Caenorhabditis elegans: one gene and its partners. The protein of the gene in region 3 purifies or fractionates together with the protein of the main gene of each other region. This does not show direct contact. Each region holds a gene or a part of one and is shown on either strand. Other genes may lie near its edges. The genes, in order: aco-1, gdh-1, aldo-1 and pyp-1.

Region 1 (5,603 bases), on a different chromosome or scaffold from region 3:
TCTCTGGCAAAGAACGTAAAGTTATGCAAAATTTACTTATTTTGAAATAAAAATATCTTTTGCGCTGGCAAGGGTCTCATATTACTTTAGTGATGTTAGCTATAGGGCAACTGAGATTTTATTGGGTGAGTGTGCACTTTTAAATGGGACTGAATAGTACGAATGAACTGCTGAAATGTTAGTCTATAAAAAGTCAGTTCAGTACAAATAAATACCGTAATCTCTCTGTTCATTTTGTTCAAACAACTAGAATGTTTGAGCTTTTACACCCAATTTTGTTGTTCTCAATGAAGATGTTTTCTTATTTATTTATACTCTTATGACTGAGAGAACAAAAAATACAATTAGTGATGACGACCTTTAAGAAAAAGTTGCAAAATGTTATATCCTAAACACTGTCAAACTGGAAGCACATTTCTTTCTCCTATAAATAGTAGAAATACGTTATTTGTTGAGTTTTAGTAAAATATTACGAATTTAAGTGGTTTTAGCAAAACAGAGACGCCAAAACTAAAATAAATTTGACCATCCACATGTTTTATAGCCCAATTATAAAAAGTATTGATTTATTTCGTTGCTCCAAATCACAAATTTATTGGACTTCAAACATGTTCATAAAATATCACAGAAAATAGAGAAGGATTGATGCATCGAAAAGTAAATAGTTATCTAAAAATAGAAAAAATTGACTTTCAAAAATTTAAGCTAAAATAACAGTTTATTGGATCAACTTTCTGATCATGTATTGGAGGATTCCTCCGTTGCGGTAATAGGTGAGTTCGACTTCAGTGTCAAATCTACAGATGACTTGGAAAACTGAACCATTGGATACATTCACATCAATGAGCTGTCCTGGCTTCAAATCGTCTGGAACTCCAATTGAGAATTGTTCTTTTCCAGTAAGTCCGAGACTATCAGCGTTTTGACCAGCTTGATATTGGAATGGAATAATGCCCATTCCAATCAGGTTGGAACGATGAATTCTTTCGAAGCTTTCAGCGATAACAGCCTTGACTCCTTGGAGGAATGGCCCCTTTGCAGCCCAATCGCGAGATGAGCCACATCCATATTCTTTTCCAGCAAGAATGATGGCTGGAATTCCGGCATCCTTGTACTTTTGAGCAGCGTCAAAGATGTCGAGCTCTTCTCCAGATGGCACATGGAGTGTAATAGGACCAACCTTCGACGCAAGCTTATTAACAAGACGAATGTTGGCGAATGTTCCACGAGCCATGATCTGAAATTTAAAAAAAAACGTGATGTGTTGTTAAATTCAAAGTTTTTAGAAAATCATATATTGAATGAATAAACTCTTACCTCATCGTTACCACGGCGAGCTCCATAAGTGTTGAAATCTCTTGGCGTTACTCCACGTCCAGCAAGGAATCTGGCGGCGGGAGAGGTCTTCGAGATTGATCCAGCTGGAGAAATATGATCAGTGGTTACCGAGTCACCGAGATTCAACAAAACGTGTGCGTTTACAATATCGGATTGTGATGGAAGCTCGCTAGTCATTCCATCAAAGAATGGAACCTTCTTGATGTAAGTAGAGGCATCGTCCCATGGGTAAAGCTTGACAGCCGGGCACTCCAATTGTTGCCACTCCGTGGATCCAAGCTCAATGTTAGCGTACACCTCGCGGAAGAATTGTGGCTTCACGAATTCCTCCTCAAACTTGGCAACTTCTTTTCTGGTTGGCCAAATGTCGGCTAGTCGGATTTCCTTTCCGTCAGGAGTAACAGCAAGAACTCCGTTAATGTCAACATTGACGTTTCCGATGATCGAGTAAAGAACAGCCAAAGGTGGAGATGCCAAATAGTTAGCACGAACATGTGGGTGAATTCTTCCTTCAAAGTTTCTATTTCCAGAGAGAACTCCGGCAACGACAAGGTTATTCTGAATAAACAATTATTTTGAAAAGAAAACAGTAGTTTCAACAATACCTCTTCGATGGCCTTTGTTACTGGCTCATCAAGTGGCCCAGAGTTTCCGATGCATGTCATGCAACCATATCCAGCAATATTAAATCCAATCTTCTCAAGGTATGGAAGAAGACCAGATGCTTCCAGGTATTTTGTGACGACTCCTGATCCTGGAGAGAGGGATGTTTTCACATATGGTTGGACATTCAATCCCAACTCAACAGCCTTCTTGGCAACCAATCCAGCTGCGAGCATGACACTTGGGTTACTGGTGTTTGTGCAGGATGTGATGGCAGCAATAACTACGGATCTGGAAGAAACATTATTTTTTGCATGTACTTCTAATTTATAGTCTTACCCGTGAGTAAGCTCTGCGGTTCTTCCGTGGTTGGTAATTGTGACAGATTTAGTGGCATCTTCTGGTTTAAGGCCAAAAGCTTTGAAGGAGATCTTATCAGTGAGCCCTTTGGAGAAATCTTGAGCCAGAGAAGCAAGCTCAACTCTGTCATGTGGACGCTTAGGTCCGGAGACACTTGGCACTACACTTCCAAGGTCCAATTTCAAAGTGGTAGTGTATGTTGGGCGGTAGGAGTCATCGGTGAAATTGACGAACATGCCAACAGACTTGAGGTATTGTTCCACGCGTTGAGTATAATCGGTATCACGTCCGGTTTGAGTGAGGTAGTCAATGGTACGGCTATCGACTGGGAAGAATCCAATTGTTGCTCCATATTCGGGGCACATGTTAGCAATTGTTGCACGATCGGCGATGGAGAGCGATGCAACTCCAGTTCCAAAGAACTCAACAAACTTTCCAACAACTCCGAGATCACGAAGGTTCTTTGTGATTGTAAGAACCAAGTCGGTACTGGTAACGGTATCACTGAGAGTTCCAACCAATTCGTATCCAATAACTTCTGGAATAACCATGGAAATTGGCTGTCCGAGCATCACAGCTTCAGCTTCAATTCCTCCAACACCCCATCCAAGAACACCACTTCCATCAATCATTGTGGTGTGGGAGTCGGTTCCAACGACGGAGTCAGGGTAGAGAACGCCATCCTTTCCAACAAACACTGTTCTGGCAAGATATTCAAGATTAACCTGATGGACGATTCCAGATCCTGGCGGTACAATAAGAAGATTGTCGAAAGCTTTGGATCCCCACTGAAAATAATTTGATAATACAATTTCATTTAAGCTATCTGAATATTTGTGTGTTCATTGAACAAAGTAGTGATAAGGGCAATCAAATGCATAGCGTGATTTTCCGAAAAGTGATGGGGAGAGTAAAACGTGACAGTGAAACTCTGAAAGTGGCATTTTCACCTTTCCTTACCTTCAAAAAGTTGAAGCGTTCTCTGTTTCGCTCAAACTCAATGGACTGATTCTTGGCAAGGGCTTCAAGGCTGAAAAAAATACAATAAATGTATAAACCAGGTTGCGCAGAACGTACTTTCCGTAGTGATCGACTTGCACGGAGTGATCGATGACAAGGTCAACTGGGCATACTGGGTTGATCTTGGCCGGGTCAGCACCCATATTTTGAACGGCGTCACGCATAGCGGCAAGATCTACGACGGCTGGAACTCCACTGAAAATTGCTTGATGTACATAAATTTGGTAATTTATTTTCAAGCTCACGTAAAATCTTGGAGAATAACGCGTGCTGGTTTGAAAGGAATCTCAGCTTGGTTACGCTGGCTGTTTTTCCAATCAAGAATGGTTTCCACGTCCTTCTTCAATACATGGAACTCATCGCAATGACGAACTGCGGCTTCCAACAAGTACTTGATGGAGATTGGAAGCTCGTCTGAAAATTTTGGGAAGGTTTTTAAAGAAAATGATTTATATATGACTTTAACATAATGAATTTATTCTTGCTCGTCGAAATTCGCTGTTTTTTTTTTCGTTTACAAAAGTTCCAAAATTGAATATATGCAGATATATTTTAGATAGATTGAGAATAGGATGTAAAATAGTTATACTTACTGTAACGAGCATCATTGAGACCATTCAAGTCAAAGTATTTGTAGACGTTATCTCCGATAGCCAAGTTGCGGATAAGGTTGTTGAAAGCCATATCTGGAAAGTTAGATATGGAAAAAATTTAAAAAAAAAAGGATTTCGATAGAAAAGAACGACAAAAGTGCATTGTAATGAAAAAGAGAATGCGAGGAAAACTAATGGAGGCGTGCCGAATCGGTGTAGTCGACCTGTCCGTTTTTGTGTGTGTCTGAGCGCGCTTAGTGTGTGTGGCTGTATTGAATGTGAGAGCGTTTTGTGTATGTTGTGTATGTGTGTGTGTGTGCCAAGGTCGGTCGAAGATAGTCATCTTTCATATCAGCTAGGACGAAATTGCGTCGTTGTCCAGTGTTTCTAGAAGGCTAATGTCGAGAAAAAAGGCGGCGAGAAAAAACGATACCATCTCAGAACTCAAGAAACAGTCAAAAAAGGTAAATGTGCACAGTGAAATAGTGTGCGGTGGGAAGAGAAGAAGAGGGCCGATCTGCATACACGTTGCGTACTTGACCCAAGAGGTTACGACAATGTTGCAGTGTGGTTTTTTTGAGAATTGAAACAATGCGCTCTCAGACATATTGAGAGATAAAAAGAAAATTCAGAGATTTGTGTCCGATATTTTTTATCTTTTGTTATCATTGATATCAGATCATTTAAAAAAGATTATCAAGTGGGAGAACTTTGCACAGATTGATGGTGAGGTGGAAATTCCTTTGGGAAACTGAAGAGCAAAAATTCGTTTTATTTTTCAAAAAAAAAAACATTTGAAAAAATGCAATCGAATCCATGCTATAACTAAACTAATACACTAGAATCTAGAATCACTAGAATCTGTAGTTCACAAAATTCATAGAGTACGGAATTTCTGTTAGCGTGACTAAAATTTACTAAGTTAAAAAAACAGAAGATGTTTGAGCACAAGCTGGTTGGTTTTTTGATTGATATTTTTGTTTCATATGTCTCTGTTCTTCATGATAATTTACTATATATAATATAAAGCGCTTATTCTGTGTGTCCATAGTTTGTAGTCTATGTAGTCTTTGTAGTCTGTGAAGTTTTGACTTCTGGAGGGATAGTGAGTTGGGGTTAGTGTAGGGATATAGTCGGGGTACTGTAGTGGTACAATAGTGGTACGGTAGGAATACTGTAGGGTTACGGTAGTTTCATAAAAATTGATTTTCAGCCCTAGAAGTCGGGGGCCGCGCCGAAGGTGCGGACCACGGCTGGTTCATAATATTACAATTACCGTTTTTCATAGTTTACCGCGTATCATTGTATAACCATGTTTTATTCAGAAAGACTTTGCATATATATTTTTATTTGATCCCAAGTTGAGATTCATAGAAACGTATTTTATTAAAATTGGTCTCACAATCATTCCCCGTATTACCTCTAGTAGCCTTTTAAGTTGTAAAAAGCAAGACAAGTGCTAACATGTGTAAACGTTTTGAACAAGTCTAGGTTTATTTTTTCAGGAATTGAAGAATTATCTGAAAATTCTACAAGGTACGCCTTGTCTTGTCCCGAATTATTGAAATACTGATTGAAGTTCTAATATTAGGATGACTCTTAGAAATGCAAGAAAATTACACACTGTATAACTAATAGGGAGTACACTTGGTAAATGAATAACACTGTTAAAAATTCTGAAAACTACCA
Region 2 (4,814 bases), on a different chromosome or scaffold from region 3:
ATGCTATTAAAATCTGTGAAACTACACGATATGCACATTCCAAAATTTCTCTGTAACTGCAAAAATTCAAAAAAATCTCCAATTCTAAATATTTCCCTCAAACATTTGCGTACACTTCGAACCGAAATGGGGGATTCCCTCCAAACTGTCTTTATCATCTTTTATCATTTCTTCTTTTTGTCCAATCAGATTAGCTTCGTTCAAACGATCACCCAATTTAATCTTTCAACATTTCTTTTCATTCTCTCCAGGAATTGCATCAGTTTGACGACGAAGGTTTTGCCGGAAAAGATCAACTGATATGGAAACGGCCAAGCATCAACTTCGTTTAGACAATTCGAAAATTTTGCAACAATTGTGGAGGTGATTCCCAAATTTGAAGCTGATAGTGGCACACAATGTGAAAGTGATATGTTATCGAAAATTCTAAATTATAGTAAATAGAAAGACACAAGTCTGATAAAGTTTTTAATGCTCCCTGAAATTTCTTTTCCAATGATCATTGGAAAATTGCAATGACCATGTAGAAGTGTTTAAGGAAATAAACTTTTTATTATTTTTGAGATTTTTTTTTGAAGAATGGTCTCCGTCTCGAAACCGTCCCGAACCAACAAACAACGAAAAAATTATGTGTGGGGATGAAAAGGGGTGGGGAACCAATAAAATATTTAATTATACTAAAGTGAGAACGAACCAGGCAGAAAAGATCAGAGCTAGACTTTAGTTAACCTAGATAGTTTCGAAACAGAAAACTATGGAAAAGGCACTAAAGGGTTACACGAAGCTATTTAAACCTGGCTTGGAGCCATTTGATGTCATAAAAGAGGATACAAGAGCCATGAGATGAGTGAGAAGTGGGTACTTATGTGAAGGTGAATCCAGCGGTTCTGTAGGTGTTGTAGACCTTCTCGATGGAGTTGGCATAGGCAGCAGTACGGATATCAAGTCCAAGGTTGTACTTGTGAGCGGTGCGGATGATGGCTTCTCCGGAGCGTTGCATTGTGTACTCGAGTCCAGAGTGAACGATGTCTTTCTCGGAAGCTCCAGCGATCTTGGCAGCGAAAGCAGCATTTGGTTCAACTGGGCAATCCTTTCCGACGGCCTTGGAGAGAGATTCTTGGACCGAGGCTGAAAATTCAAACATTTTTAAACAGAAAGAATTGATTTACAATTTGTTTCCTAGAGTGCATACGTACTCATTTTCACGACAACGGTTGAGTGGCCTCCTCTCCCTCCTCATAAAATAAACGGAAAAGTGTGACAAGCGTAAGAGTATCTAGCCCTTGTTAGTTTCTAAACAAAATTTTATCACAGATGAAAACTTGCAAATCGTTTCATTGTGTTACTCTACGCAAGTCTAGGAATTCAAATTTCGAAAATTTACTTACCCAAAAGCATCTTGTTGGCTTCCTCGTCATATTTGAATGTAAGACGTCCGTAGGAAACATGGTTAAGATTCTTCAACCACTCGAAGTAGGAAACAGTAACTCCACCAGAGTTGACGTACATGTCTGGGATGATGAGGCAATCTCCACGAGCAAGAAGAATTCTGTCAGCAGCTGGGGTAGTTGGTCCGTTGGCAGCCTCGGCGATGATCTTAGCTTGAATGCGGCTAGCATTTTCCTTGTGGATCGACTTTTCGCAAGCAGCTGGAACGAAGATATCGCACTTCTCGTACATAAGCTCAGTGAATGGGTCGAAGTTCTTGGCTCCTGGGAAGTTCTTGATAGTTCCATTGGCGTCCTTCCAATCTTCGAGCTCCTTTGGATGAATACCATCTGGGTTGTAGACGGCGCAATCGTACTCCTGGATTCCGATGACCTTTGATCCAGCACGGTGGAGGTATCTGTGGGTGTGAAGTCCGACGTTTCCGAATCCTTGGATGATAGCAGTCTTTCCAGCGAGTCCGGTGTCAAGACCGACCATCTTCATGTAATCAGCATCGTTGGTGAACACCTCGAGTCCCTTCCACACTCCACGTCCGGTGGCGGAAACACGTCCGTGAATTCCTCCACTGACAATTGGCTTTCCTGTGATACAAGCCGAAGCATCCTGCAAACAAAATTATTCACATGCTCACAAAAAATTTATACTCACTCTGTCCAAATGTCCAATGGTTTGGGCGTAGGTATCAGCGATCCATCCCATTTCACGCTCTCCGGTTCCCATATCTGGGGCTGGGACATCAACTCCGGGGCCGAGGAATCCCTTCTTTGCGAATTCGATAGCGATACGGCGGGTGATCTTCTCAATTTCATAATCAGTGTATTGCTTTGGATCAATCTTGACTCCTCCCTTAGCTCCTCCGAATGGAACATCGACAACAGCGCACTTGTAAGTCATAAGAGCAGACAAAGCTTTGACCTCATCTTCGCACACATCGAGGGAATAACGGATACCTCCCTTGGTTGGAGTTCTGTGCTCAGAATGCTGTGCGCGCCAGGCCTCAATAACCTCGAACTCTCCATTGTCACGACGGATTGGGAAGGTGATGTAAAGGACCTGAAGAAAATAAAATATGATAAATTAATGAGACTCAAAATTCTTACCTTGTTAACTGGCTTGATAGCTCCAAGAATTCCGGACACGAGATTCTTCTTATCCTTTTGGCTCAAAGAGTTGGACTTGAGCTCCTCGGCGAGTTTTGGAGCGATGACCTCGGCTCCCTTGTTGAAGTAAAAGTCGACCATCTTGTAGAAAGATGGGTTGACCTGCTCCTCCATTGGCTTCTGCTCGTCGAGCACCTGGGAGTGGGCATCGAGAGTAGCGGCCGAATAGCTTCGGACAGCGACCGAGCGGGCGCCTCTGGAAAGAGTGCTCAACATTACCTGAAAATAAAATATTTTGTAATTAAAATTTAAACAAATAAGAGATTTTACATAAGAAGCCAAAGTGCAAAAAGGAGGAAAAGATCCGGGCGGAATCGAAAAGTAAGGAAAATGCCAGGAGGTCTCGTCACGAAATCCATGCGCCTTTAATAATTTTCAGCGGCAGTTTGAAATTATTTAAGTTATAGCTCGTTTAAAAATATTTAAATCAAAAAAAATTGGCAGAGGCATCAAAACCTTTTTTCCTAAAAAAAATGTGGCACCGCCCGCGAGTAGGCAAACGCTTCTAGGCCACGAAAAGCTCGTCCTGGGGACGCGGGCGCCATAACTATTCAAAACTAGAGGAGCCCAACACAAAACTGTTTACAGGACAACGCGCAACCATCATCGGTGGGCGAGACCGATGAAACTGCAAGCAAAAGATAGCGTTTCATGGAGGAGGAGGAGGAGGTGACTGGCAAATAGATATTTAGAGAAAGAGAGAAATAGAGGCAACATTCGGGGGAAAAATAGAGAAAAGATGCTCCGCCTATTTGAAGAAGGAAAAAAGAAGAGTGGGACGAGTGTCATTGATCTTCGCCCATATTGTGTGGTGCTATTGCATAGGACATACGATCTGCATAGCAACAAAACAAAAGAAGCAGGGTCAATCGACGTCATCTGAGAAAGAATCGAGACAGTGTCTCGCTAAATTCGCGTCAAAAATCTCATTCAACGAATTTTGAATACCAGTTTTGTTTTTGTTTCTCTTTCGATTTGTTTTACTGATCGACATCTTTGATTCTTCGTAAATAATCTTCAGAATAAGACAACCGATTTTTAAATTTTATTTCTCCCCCAGAGATTTGACAGAAATTTTTGAAGAATGTGGCTTTTTCGGTGGTCGCTTCCATAACCAAACATAGAGCATAAAATATTTTTAAAATGGAAAAAAAATAATTAAAAAATCCGAGCACCAAGACGCGCTACCATAAACTTTTTCTCCCGACGAGACCCATTGGAATGAATTCATGCGCCTTTAAGAACAAATTCTACACTTTTGATTTTATTTTCATTATTTATTGAAAAAATTTCAAGAATGATAAAACGTGAGCTTGTTAGTTGTGATAAAAAAGAAAAACAGGTTAGTAATTTGAAACCGGATAAATCTAGACATAAGCATAAATCGAAAGTTATAACCGATTGTATGACTGGAAATAGTTTTCATGAAATGAATTGTCATAATATTGCTGATTATAAAAATCATAATGGACTGTGGGCGAAGTTTGAAAACTAGGAGATAATTGGTCTGTTTGTGGAAAAGTATGAACCATCTGATATTCTTCTGGAGACGATGGGTAGAGAGAGTCATAAATAGAAGATGGTATTGATTGTGGAGAATTGTATTGATATTGATAAAGGTACGATGGTGACGAAGGTGATGATTCAAGCAAACTCATGATTCCCTTTTCAGCATTTTTTAGTTCCTTCTCATCTAGAGATTCGACAGGAAGTTTTGCTGGACGTTTCGAACGCTGGCACTTTGTTCCACTGATTTCATACTTTCTTTTTCTTGAGAAACGATTCATACTCTTCTTCAATTCACGATTGACTTGTCCACGATATTCAGTGCAAGTGATGAATATCATTTCGTCGAATTTCGTTTCCTTCAGGTATATCAGTTCGTCGTTTTGCATCTCATACAACACAACTCGGATTTGATACATTGTTCTCGAGGAGAGACACACCTGAAAATTTGAAAAAAGTCTAAATGACCATTGCGCAATTAATCGTTTTGGTTTTCAAACATGCTGATTATTGGGGACGCAAAAAATGCCCCTTTTGAAATCAAGGTGCAAAAACGCCCCGCCACAAAACGTTGGGTCTCGGTAGGTTTTTGATTTTGGCGGAAAACCTGTAAATTGGTGAAGTCTGCAGAACGAATTGAAAAGGTTTGAATTTACGGTTTTGTCTCCAGAAACCTAACGAGACCCATGGCTAGAGGGC
Region 3 (3,883 bases):
ATTTATTCGTTTGACTTTTAAAAATCTCGGTTAGTCGATTTCTGAAGATCAAACAACTTGGAAAACAAAAACAATCCAACGACAGGGTGTAACACATTTACTATTGGAAATTTAGAAAATTTAGTTTTAAAAACACTTACATTTCAAAAGGGTTCTTGGCAGCCAAGGTATCCTTTTCAGTTGGCGGACCATAGTACTTGGTATAGAAGATCTCAGATCCTCTCACTTCGCGGTAGTACATTGCAATGGACAAATGAATGGCTGTAATGCGTTGCGAATAGTGTGCAACTGGTTAGATATCGATCTGAAAATGTGCATCGCACCTGCCCAAGGTTAAACGGCTCCACTGGGAAATTGTTCTCTCGCACTTACACTAGGCACCTTCTGTTCTCAACAATTGAGCAGACACATAAACCTACAAGGAATAGTGAGTAGTAGAAGACATCTTGACGTCATCACTATGAATGCATCGCGACGAGCCATCGCTCAATTGTCTGTCTGCTTGAATCAAATGTTCCAAAGATACATCTCTCTTTAATTGTGCATTCGTATCTACCAAAGATTTATTAAATCCGAAGAGACTTAGAGAAGCAAATAATGACAATTAAAGGGGTATACAGACACATAATTCTACGTGCGTTGAATAGTTTTAAAAAATGAGAAAAAAGAGATCCTGAGCGTGGCCATTTAATAAGAATGATTGGCGACGAAGAGGGATTGGGAAGCGGCTGCGTCAGCTGAAGCATCCCCGGTGTATTTTCCGACAGAGGCAAGGGAGTTGACCTGAGCACGATGGAGCAGGACTTCTTGGGCGGCTGCGATGTTCTCGTCCTTTCCGGCCCACTTGGCGAGACAGGAGGCTTGAAGAGCACGTCCATAGGAGAATGTGAGGGCCCATGGCTTCTTTCCGCTCACTTGATTGATGGCGTTCAAGTTCAATGTGGCATCCTCTTCGGATTGTCCACCGGAGAGGAAGACGACTCCTGGAACGGCGGATGGGACTCCGCGTTGGAGGGCGGTGACGGTGGCGAGTCCGATATCGGCATTCGATGGCTTCTCGCCGGTGAATGATTGTCCGGAGGTGACCATGTTTGGCTTGAGGAGGGTTCCCTCGAGGAAGACGTGATGCTCGTTGAGAGCGTGGTACACATATGAGAGCACGGTCTCGGTGATCTTCTGTCCGCGAGCCAAGCAGTGTTCACCGTCTGGGAGGATCTGAAATGATAACTAATTAGAGTGCCAATTATATTTTTTTTACAAAAAAAAAACTGCTGCGAGACCCAAGTAACGGACGTGGCATTAACTTGGGTTTTGCATCGAATATTAAAATTTTCTGTGAAAACCGTTCTAAGTATTACATTCAAGCCGATCTACGACTACATCCCCCCAAAAGGAACTTAGGTGGGTAGGTACCAGTGCTGTGCGACTCTCGGCTCTCGACTCTCGGTAATTACCTCTGGCTCAACAATTGGTACAAGTCCATTTTGTTGGCAAATTGAAGCATAGCGAGCCAAGTTGGAGGCAATTTCCTTAAGAGCAGTCACTGATGGAGTCGTAGATGAGATCTTGTGCACGCATCTCCACTTGGCGAACTGTGCTCCGTCTTTCTTGTATTGAGCGCAACGAGCATTCAAGTCATCCAATCCCTGAGTGGTTCCCTCTCCGATGGTTCCGGCCATTGGGACGACACCCTTGTCAACCTTGATTCCTGGAATGATTCCTTGCTCCTGGAGAAGAGCAGTGAATGGCTTTCCGTCGTCGGTCTTTTGGTAGAATGTCTCGTGGAACATGATGACTCCCGAGATGTACTTGTTGAGGTCGGCTCCGGCGGTAAACAGAAGTTGACGATACTTGCGGCGGTTCTCCTCGGTGTTCTCGAGTCCGATGCTGTTAAGACGCTTGTCCATGGATCCGGTGGACTCATCGGCGGCTGCAAATTCGAATTTCAGGGAGATTGGAGAGATTAGAGATTAGATTTGTAACACACAAAATGCCAAATTTTGTTTCCCAAATTTAATATCGTTACTTACCGAGAATTCCCTTTCCTGGGGTGACGATGGCGTTGGCGATGGAGCGGAGTTCGTCCTCCTGGGCCTTGGTCAAGAATTGCGAGTAAGAAGCCATTTTAGAAAATGAAGTTGCCTGAAAATGTGCAAGAGTGAAGTCGGTGAAAAACAAGGGCCGCTGATAAAAGTGAAAAGAGCCGGAGCTTTCTCTCTCGCGCCAAACGAATCGATGGCACCGCCGAGAAGGGAGACGGAGAGCCCCTGGCGAGAGAGCAAGAGTGTGTGAGAAGCCGTGCAGAGTGGCGAGAGGGAATTGAGGGGCCCTACGTGATTTGCACGAAATTTTGTGAGAAGTAAAAGAAGAAGAACTGCTGTTGGAGCAGAACGTGAGAAATAGTTTGAAGAAGCGAGAGGAGCAGGAATTGCCAAAGTCTTGAACTTTTCAACGTTGGAGGATTTGATTTGATTTGGTTCACGGAAGCGTGCGGAGATATGAAGATATGAAAGTTGAAATTGCTTTTCAGACATATGCCTCTGGCGTACTTAGAGCAGCCGGGCTATGAGCTCGAGCCTAGTTTAGGACTCATTGGAGTAGTCTGAAATTGAAATAATGTAAAAGAGATTACGAAATTTGGAATGATGCAATCGTTTTTCAGAGGAATCGACCCTACTTGGCACATTTTGTTTTTTTTTTTTAATTCGAAAATGAGCCAACTTGCCCCTACGATAAAAACACAATTTACCTAGTTTTCCAATATTATAGGGTTTAGACCACATAGTTATATTTAAAAAAAAACTAGAGTAAACTGCATTTTCGTTTGCCATATTCCGTAACTCGCTCTGTATTAATTATCAAAATAACTCAATTTTGTGTCATTTTACTCAATTTTTGGGGACAAAACCAATGGTTTTGGTCAAAGTTGTAATGTCAAAACTTTGGCATGTGCGGCAAATATCGAAATTTGCAGAGCTCGGAAAATTTAACAAATCTACTTTTTTGAAATTTGTCTTGCTCGGCAAATTCAGCAAAGTTACCGAGCTCAGCAAACGGCAAATTTGGCAAATTTGCCGTATACCCCTGCTCTGTTTATTCCCTGGGCATTCTCGTAAGACCTATAAGGCTACTATAAGTACGAGAACATGCGAGGCACGTACTAATAAAACAATTCAAAATCTACGACAAATCATGACAAAAAAAAACAAGAAGAGGATCTTATGTAAAACAAGCAATACATCTATGTATTCATTTTTGTAAATAAAATGAGCTTCTATGTCAAAACTATAACATGGGTACAACAAAAAAGACAGCGAATAGAAAACGACGTGATGTGAAAAAGATATTTTGAGAATGGCTATGTGCTTTTTTGCGTGAGATGGCAATATGGAGGAGGCATGATGCAATTGTGCGAATAGTGAGAGTTTAGAGAAAACGTAGAAGGGTTATGAAATTGTTTTTTTTTCTTCATGGACCCAGAATTTGAATGTGCACAAAGAAAACTTAACCATTGGAAATTTAGGTAGAATGCCTTGCAAAATCTATAAAAGCAACATCTTATCACGACTAACATATATATTCTTCTAATTTTCAGAGTTTGAATCAGAGGGGATCCGGAAATTTCAATTTCGGCAATTTGCCGGAAAAAATGGTTTTTGTCAAAATCTTTGAAAAAAAAATATTGGGAACTTAAAAAAAAAAGATGTTTGAAAAATGCGGGAAAACCGTAGCTCGGAATTGAGAAAAAGTTGTTACTGGCAAGTTTTAGAAGCTTTTGGAATGTAAAAAGTTTTAAAATTTTAACCAAGCGTATTCTCAATTAGCTGAAAATTTAAGCAATTCCAAAAAAAAAGCAACAAACTGTTTTGAAAAACTCGATTAT
Region 4 (4,719 bases), on a different chromosome or scaffold from region 3:
AGTGTTCTTTTTTCAACAGAGGTATGAATATTGCTGATCTAGGAATTCTTACTTACAATTAGAAAAGTAATTTCAGGGTCACATATTTCCAATATCCCCGCTGTTCAATCTGCCTCCTACTCCGCCATCTCAATATGATCCACCTCTCAAACCATTGCCACGTACCAACTCATCATTTTGCGAAACTGCCACAGACTTCACTTTTGGAACCCCACCACTTCGTCATTCTCAAATGCGTGAATTGTTCAAAGTTATTGGAGTTGATTCGGTTCTTCACGATTGGTTATAATTTATTTGTACTATTGCATATCTGATTTCTTGTTGCCTTATATTTTATGTGGTTTTAGTTCTGTGATAGCAATATTTTTTTTCCGGTTAGCATTAAAATATATGAATTTCAATGATCTAGAAATAAATCAAAAGAAGATAGAATAATGAAATCATATGTTTACATTCTACTAAAATCAATAAGAGTTTAAGTTTTACCAACAATTATGACACATCGTTTGTGATTTGTAATCAGTGTAATACAATGGCGAATGGAGAAACCGAGAGGTATTGATAAGAGAAGACTGCTCACAGAGCAAAAACAAGTCCAAGCGGTTTTCAATATTAGATTCTCCTCCCAGAAGTGTTCTTTGATTGATCTTTCAGTGATGGTCGTTTCTTGATGGGCCTCGTGTTGATCGCCAAACGAAACAAGCCGCTGATCGCGATGATGGCTGCTATACTTTTCACAGTCGCTGTATTTTTGGCTACGAGGTTTGTTGCATTCGACTGTTCCTATTTGGTGGTTTTCAAATGCAAATTAATATTTAGCATATTTTCTCAACTGTCTGGGATTTTTATTTTATTTTTATGCGTTCAGACTTAAATATTTCACTGTTACCGTAGCTGAGGGTTGCGTCTGCATTTTCATGTAGTTTGTGGTGTGATGTGTGTGTACACTGCTATATTTTCGTAGGCCTATTTTTTACAAATTGCTGCGCTGGCAATGCTATTCTTGTTTTGTTTTTATCTTAATCAAATTTTTAGTTATTTTTTATACATATTAATTCTCAAAAATGTATTCAGTATTTGTAAAATTATCTGCTAAGAGTGATTAAATACATTGATCAATACTGAGTGGAGTTATTTATTAGGAACATCAACGATTAATTTTATTTTTTCTGCGTTTTTCAAGCTACATATTATTGCGATAAGGAAATTGAAAATGCATGTCTTCCATAACTTTTATCCGTGCCATTGAACAAGAAGCCATTTATCACCAAACATGCGAAGAGCCTTTTAGACAAGAAAATTAGCTTGTGCAAATTTATTTTAAACCTCTATTGAGTTGATGTTATCTATATTGAGATGTTCAAAAATTTCATGACTGAAATTAGGATTTCTTTTGGGCCCAGGTGAGAGTTTTTTATGCTGATTGTTTTGAGCCACAGGGTTTAGATAATCGTTGAATGATATTATCCTGCCTTATGTTTCAATTTTCAATTTAATCTTGCTTCTATCATGACGACATAACCAAATCCACACATATCACCAACTGCTTGAAAATGTGCATGCGCCACAGCGTCTCTCGTGTTTTCCGCATATATCTCACAAATGTCTGTAGTTGTCCTCATCTCTTCCTAGATGATACTGAGCTGTCGAAGTGTGGCCACGGCGAGAGGATTTTTGTTATCAACTCGTCTTATTATGGGCTGTGCCGTGAGCCAAGAAAGCGCCATCGCCACTGTCTCGTCATCTTCAAACACTGCAACAACATCCACCAGCAGTTCAAATACTTCACAGAAATGGGCCACTTCAAGGACATCGCGTCCAGTTACAAACGTCACACAGGCAAGACTGATGAGTATTGTTCTAGTTTTATTTTGGTTATGTGTAGGTTTCTGCGATTCACACCACTTCAATGGATTCCGGCAGCTCAACTGTCCAATTACCTTCTCCTCGTGGCAGTCTTACCACAGCCGTCTCCACCTCTTCTTCGGGAGCTCAACGACAAATGTCAGCCAATTCGGAGAGGAGTCTGCACACGAGGTTGCGTGTTGATGTTTCTTCCTTCTTGTGTCTGTGTCGTTTTTAAGGGAGGATAACGTTTTATATAATCCTTATTGATGTTTTCTATCACTTTCTAATAACTCACATCCATTGGTAGAGCGGAAAAGAAAAGAAAACAATTATTTAATCTAAATCTGGGTCATGCTCGAATCGCTGCTAGATCTTATATTGAGAAAAAACGTAGTTTAAAAATATTTAACCCTTCTCCAAAACTTCAGTTTGTCCAGCAGCCCCTTGTAGATGAAGTGTAGGCGTACTAAACTTTACCCCGTCACCTCACATTGCAAACGGGCGGTGTCAGCTGATAAGACTAGTCCGTCACCAAATGCTCAAAGAATAAAGAAATGTTGCCTATAATTATGTAACATACTTTTCAAAGATGCCAGTACACATGCTTATAAAATGACACTTTGTGTTTGGAAATTTATTTTCAAGTTGCTTTATTGTCTTTATTTGAATTCGCATTTTAAATTCTGGCGTATTTTTTTTTTAAACTTTTAACGTGAAAACTTTTGCAAATCCACGTTTTAATAGTTTCGAGTGGCAAAATGTTTAAAGATTAGTTTAACAAAAACCTTGTGAAAAATGTTCTCTTGGCTCTTTTGCGGTCGTTGTTTCCGAAACCCAAACAAGTTTGTTATACTTATAATTGGCTGTTATGAGTGTAGAAGTGTTTTCATGATAGCATCTAATTCCACTCGCAAACACATGTAGTTTTCAATATTCGCATTATTATTATTTTTCAGGCCCTTGTCGGAGACTGCTGTCATTTTGCAAAGTCAAGCTGTGAAAATGAGCACCGGAGCCGGAGATTCAGCAGTTTACGAAGCCGTCGAGCGTGGATCTCTTTATAGTTTGGATTATAGAGTTTATATCAGTGAGTCGAAGCTGCTATAATTATTGGTTCTAATATCTATTTTGCAGAGGGACCACAAGGAATCGTATCTCCTTGGCACGATATTCCATTGTTCGCCAACAAGGACAAGAGAGTTTACAACATGATTGTTGAGATTCCACGTTGGACAAATGCTAAAATGGAAATGGCCACCAAGGAACCATTCTCGCCAATCAAGCAAGATGAGAAGAAGGGTGTAGCTCGCTTTGTTCACAACATTTTCCCACACAAAGGATACATCTGGAACTACGGAGCTCTTCCACAGACATGGGAAGATCCAAACCATGTTGTTCCTGACACTGGAGCTAAAGGAGACAATGATCCAATTGATGTTATTGAAGTTGGATCAAAGGTTGCCGGACGGGGAGCTGTTCTGCAAGTAAAAGTTCTCGGAACATTGGCTCTCATTGACGAAGGAGAGACCGATTGGAAATTGGTCGCAATTGATGTCAACGATGAGAATGCTGACAAGTTGAATGACATTGATGACGTCGAAAAGGTTTATCCTGGACTATTGGCTGTAAGTTTCGATTAAACATTTTTCAAAATACGTTTCATTTTTTTTCTTTCAGGCATCTGTTGAATGGTTCCGCAATTACAAGATTCCAGCAGGAAAACCAGCCAACGAGTTCGCTTTTAATGGAGAGTTCAAGAACCGAGAATACGCGGAGAAAGTCATCGATGAGACCAACGAATATTGGAAGACTCTCATCAAGGAAGCAAACCCATCCTTGAACACGTAGGGATTTCATCGCTTTTAATATTCTAAACTTCAAATTTCAGAGTCTCTCGGGTTCCAGAAGCTGTTCACCAAGGAACTGATGAAGCGGCCGCAACTGCCATTGGCGCTACCCCAGAACATGGAGCAAATGCTCCACTACCAGGAGATGTTGATAAGTGGCATTTTGTGCAAGGATGACTAGTACGCCCTGGAAGCCGTGAAGCATCTTCAAAACTTTAAATTTATTGCACTGTCGCTCCCTGAAATTATACTGACTCCCTCATTCTCTTGTTTTGTTCCAACGTATTTGATTATTTGATTCCTTTAATTTTATATTGTTTTTTTCATTATTCGAAAAACTTTTAAAAATTGAATTGGGGATCTTCTCTGTTTATGTATGTGATGTTTTCTTTTTGGTTTACCACCATACGTGAATTATTTGTCAAATCCAAACAGATCTTTTAAATTCAAAGTTCCTTTGGAAAAAGCAGTGAGCAGAGTCAGCACGAACTCGATAAACAGAAGAAACAATTTAAATTTTGAAAATGCTGATTTCAAACATATACGAACGAACTTTTAAAAATACATTAGAAATATCGAGAAATTTCTTTCGCAAAAAAGGAACACAAACACTACGAGACGACGATAGCGATGTTTTTATGTCAAAGAAGAAAAATGCAAAAGCGCTCTATTTTACTGCTAATATTTCTATGAGAAACTTGGCGCCATTTTCCACTTATGTTCCTTTTTCTTCATTTCGCAAGCGCGCCACTTTTTTCAAATGAAAATCAATAATTTCATCCTTCTAGAATCTTCCACAAACAGTTTGTTTCGCATTTTTTCGAAACGTGCAGTGGTTAAAAATCATTCGCTTTTCAATCTCAATTCTCGCCGAAAGCTCATCATCAGATTCTTCTCTTTTAAGCCACCATTATTCGAACTGCATCAGTTTTCATCAATTAAAAACTATTTTCAGTGGTTCTGATCTTTCGTGATTAATGACTACCATCCTTGAGCTAACATCGGCCAACAAAACTAACAACAA

Evidence for each region.
Region 1: the proteins of aldo-1 (region 3) and aco-1 fractionate together in Caenorhabditis elegans (co-fractionation; one large-scale study listed by BioGRID). This does not show direct contact.
Region 2: the proteins of aldo-1 (region 3) and gdh-1 fractionate together in Caenorhabditis elegans (co-fractionation; one large-scale study listed by BioGRID). This does not show direct contact.
Region 4: the proteins of aldo-1 (region 3) and pyp-1 fractionate together in Caenorhabditis elegans (co-fractionation; one large-scale study listed by BioGRID). This does not show direct contact.

The regions. Positions count from the first base shown.
Region 1 is NC_003284.9:11,338,278-11,343,880, reverse strand, and holds aco-1 (Cytoplasmic aconitate hydratase), read right to left. Parts: upstream 4,008-5,603; 5' UTR 4,006-4,007; coding exon 3,915-4,005; intron 3,736-3,914; coding exon 3,567-3,735; intron 3,517-3,566; coding exon 3,379-3,516; intron 3,332-3,378; coding exon 3,262-3,331; intron 3,090-3,261; coding exon 2,281-3,089; intron 2,233-2,280; coding exon 1,944-2,232; intron 1,897-1,943; coding exon 1,318-1,896; intron 1,238-1,317; coding exon 719-1,237; 3' UTR 554-718; downstream 1-553. UniProt on the Caenorhabditis elegans protein: Catalyzes the isomerization of citrate to isocitrate via cis-aconitate. Has probably no RNA-binding activity.
Region 2 is NC_003282.8:11,951,263-11,956,076, reverse strand, and holds gdh-1 (Glutamate dehydrogenase), read right to left. Parts: upstream 2,829-4,814; 5' UTR 2,826-2,828; coding exon 2,550-2,825; intron 2,503-2,549; coding exon 2,098-2,502; intron 2,053-2,097; coding exon 1,389-2,052; intron 1,129-1,388; coding exon 863-1,128; 3' UTR 536-862; downstream 1-535. Other genes in the region: tbx-36 (Putative T-box protein 36), read right to left, coding at 4,001-4,555.
Region 3 is NC_003281.10:13,562,796-13,566,678, forward strand, and holds aldo-1 (Fructose-bisphosphate aldolase 1), read right to left. Parts: upstream 2,143-3,883; 5' UTR 2,125-2,142; coding exon 2,031-2,124; intron 1,931-2,030; coding exon 1,455-1,930; intron 1,216-1,454; coding exon 688-1,215; 3' UTR 551-687; downstream 1-550. Other genes in the region: T05D4.2 (F-box associated domain-containing protein), read right to left, coding at 141-241. UniProt on the Caenorhabditis elegans protein: May be involved in the metabolism of fructose-bisphosphate (beta-D-fructose 1,6-bisphosphate) and of fructose 1-phosphate.
Region 4 is NC_003282.8:9,994,877-9,999,595, reverse strand, and holds pyp-1 (Inorganic pyrophosphatase 1), read left to right. Parts: upstream 1-1,632; coding exon 1,633-1,839; intron 1,840-1,885; coding exon 1,886-2,037; intron 2,038-2,804; coding exon 2,805-2,935; intron 2,936-2,982; coding exon 2,983-3,473; intron 3,474-3,525; coding exon 3,526-3,692; intron 3,693-3,736; coding exon 3,737-3,872; 3' UTR 3,873-4,211; downstream 4,212-4,719. Other genes in the region: C47E12.3 (alpha-1,2-Mannosidase), read left to right, coding at 1-21, 77-289; uba-1 (E1 ubiquitin-activating enzyme), read left to right, coding at 4,673-4,719. UniProt on the Caenorhabditis elegans protein: Catalyzes the hydrolysis of inorganic pyrophosphate (PPi) forming two phosphate ions. Plays a role in intestinal development and subsequent normal secretory, digestive and absorption functions. Required for larval development.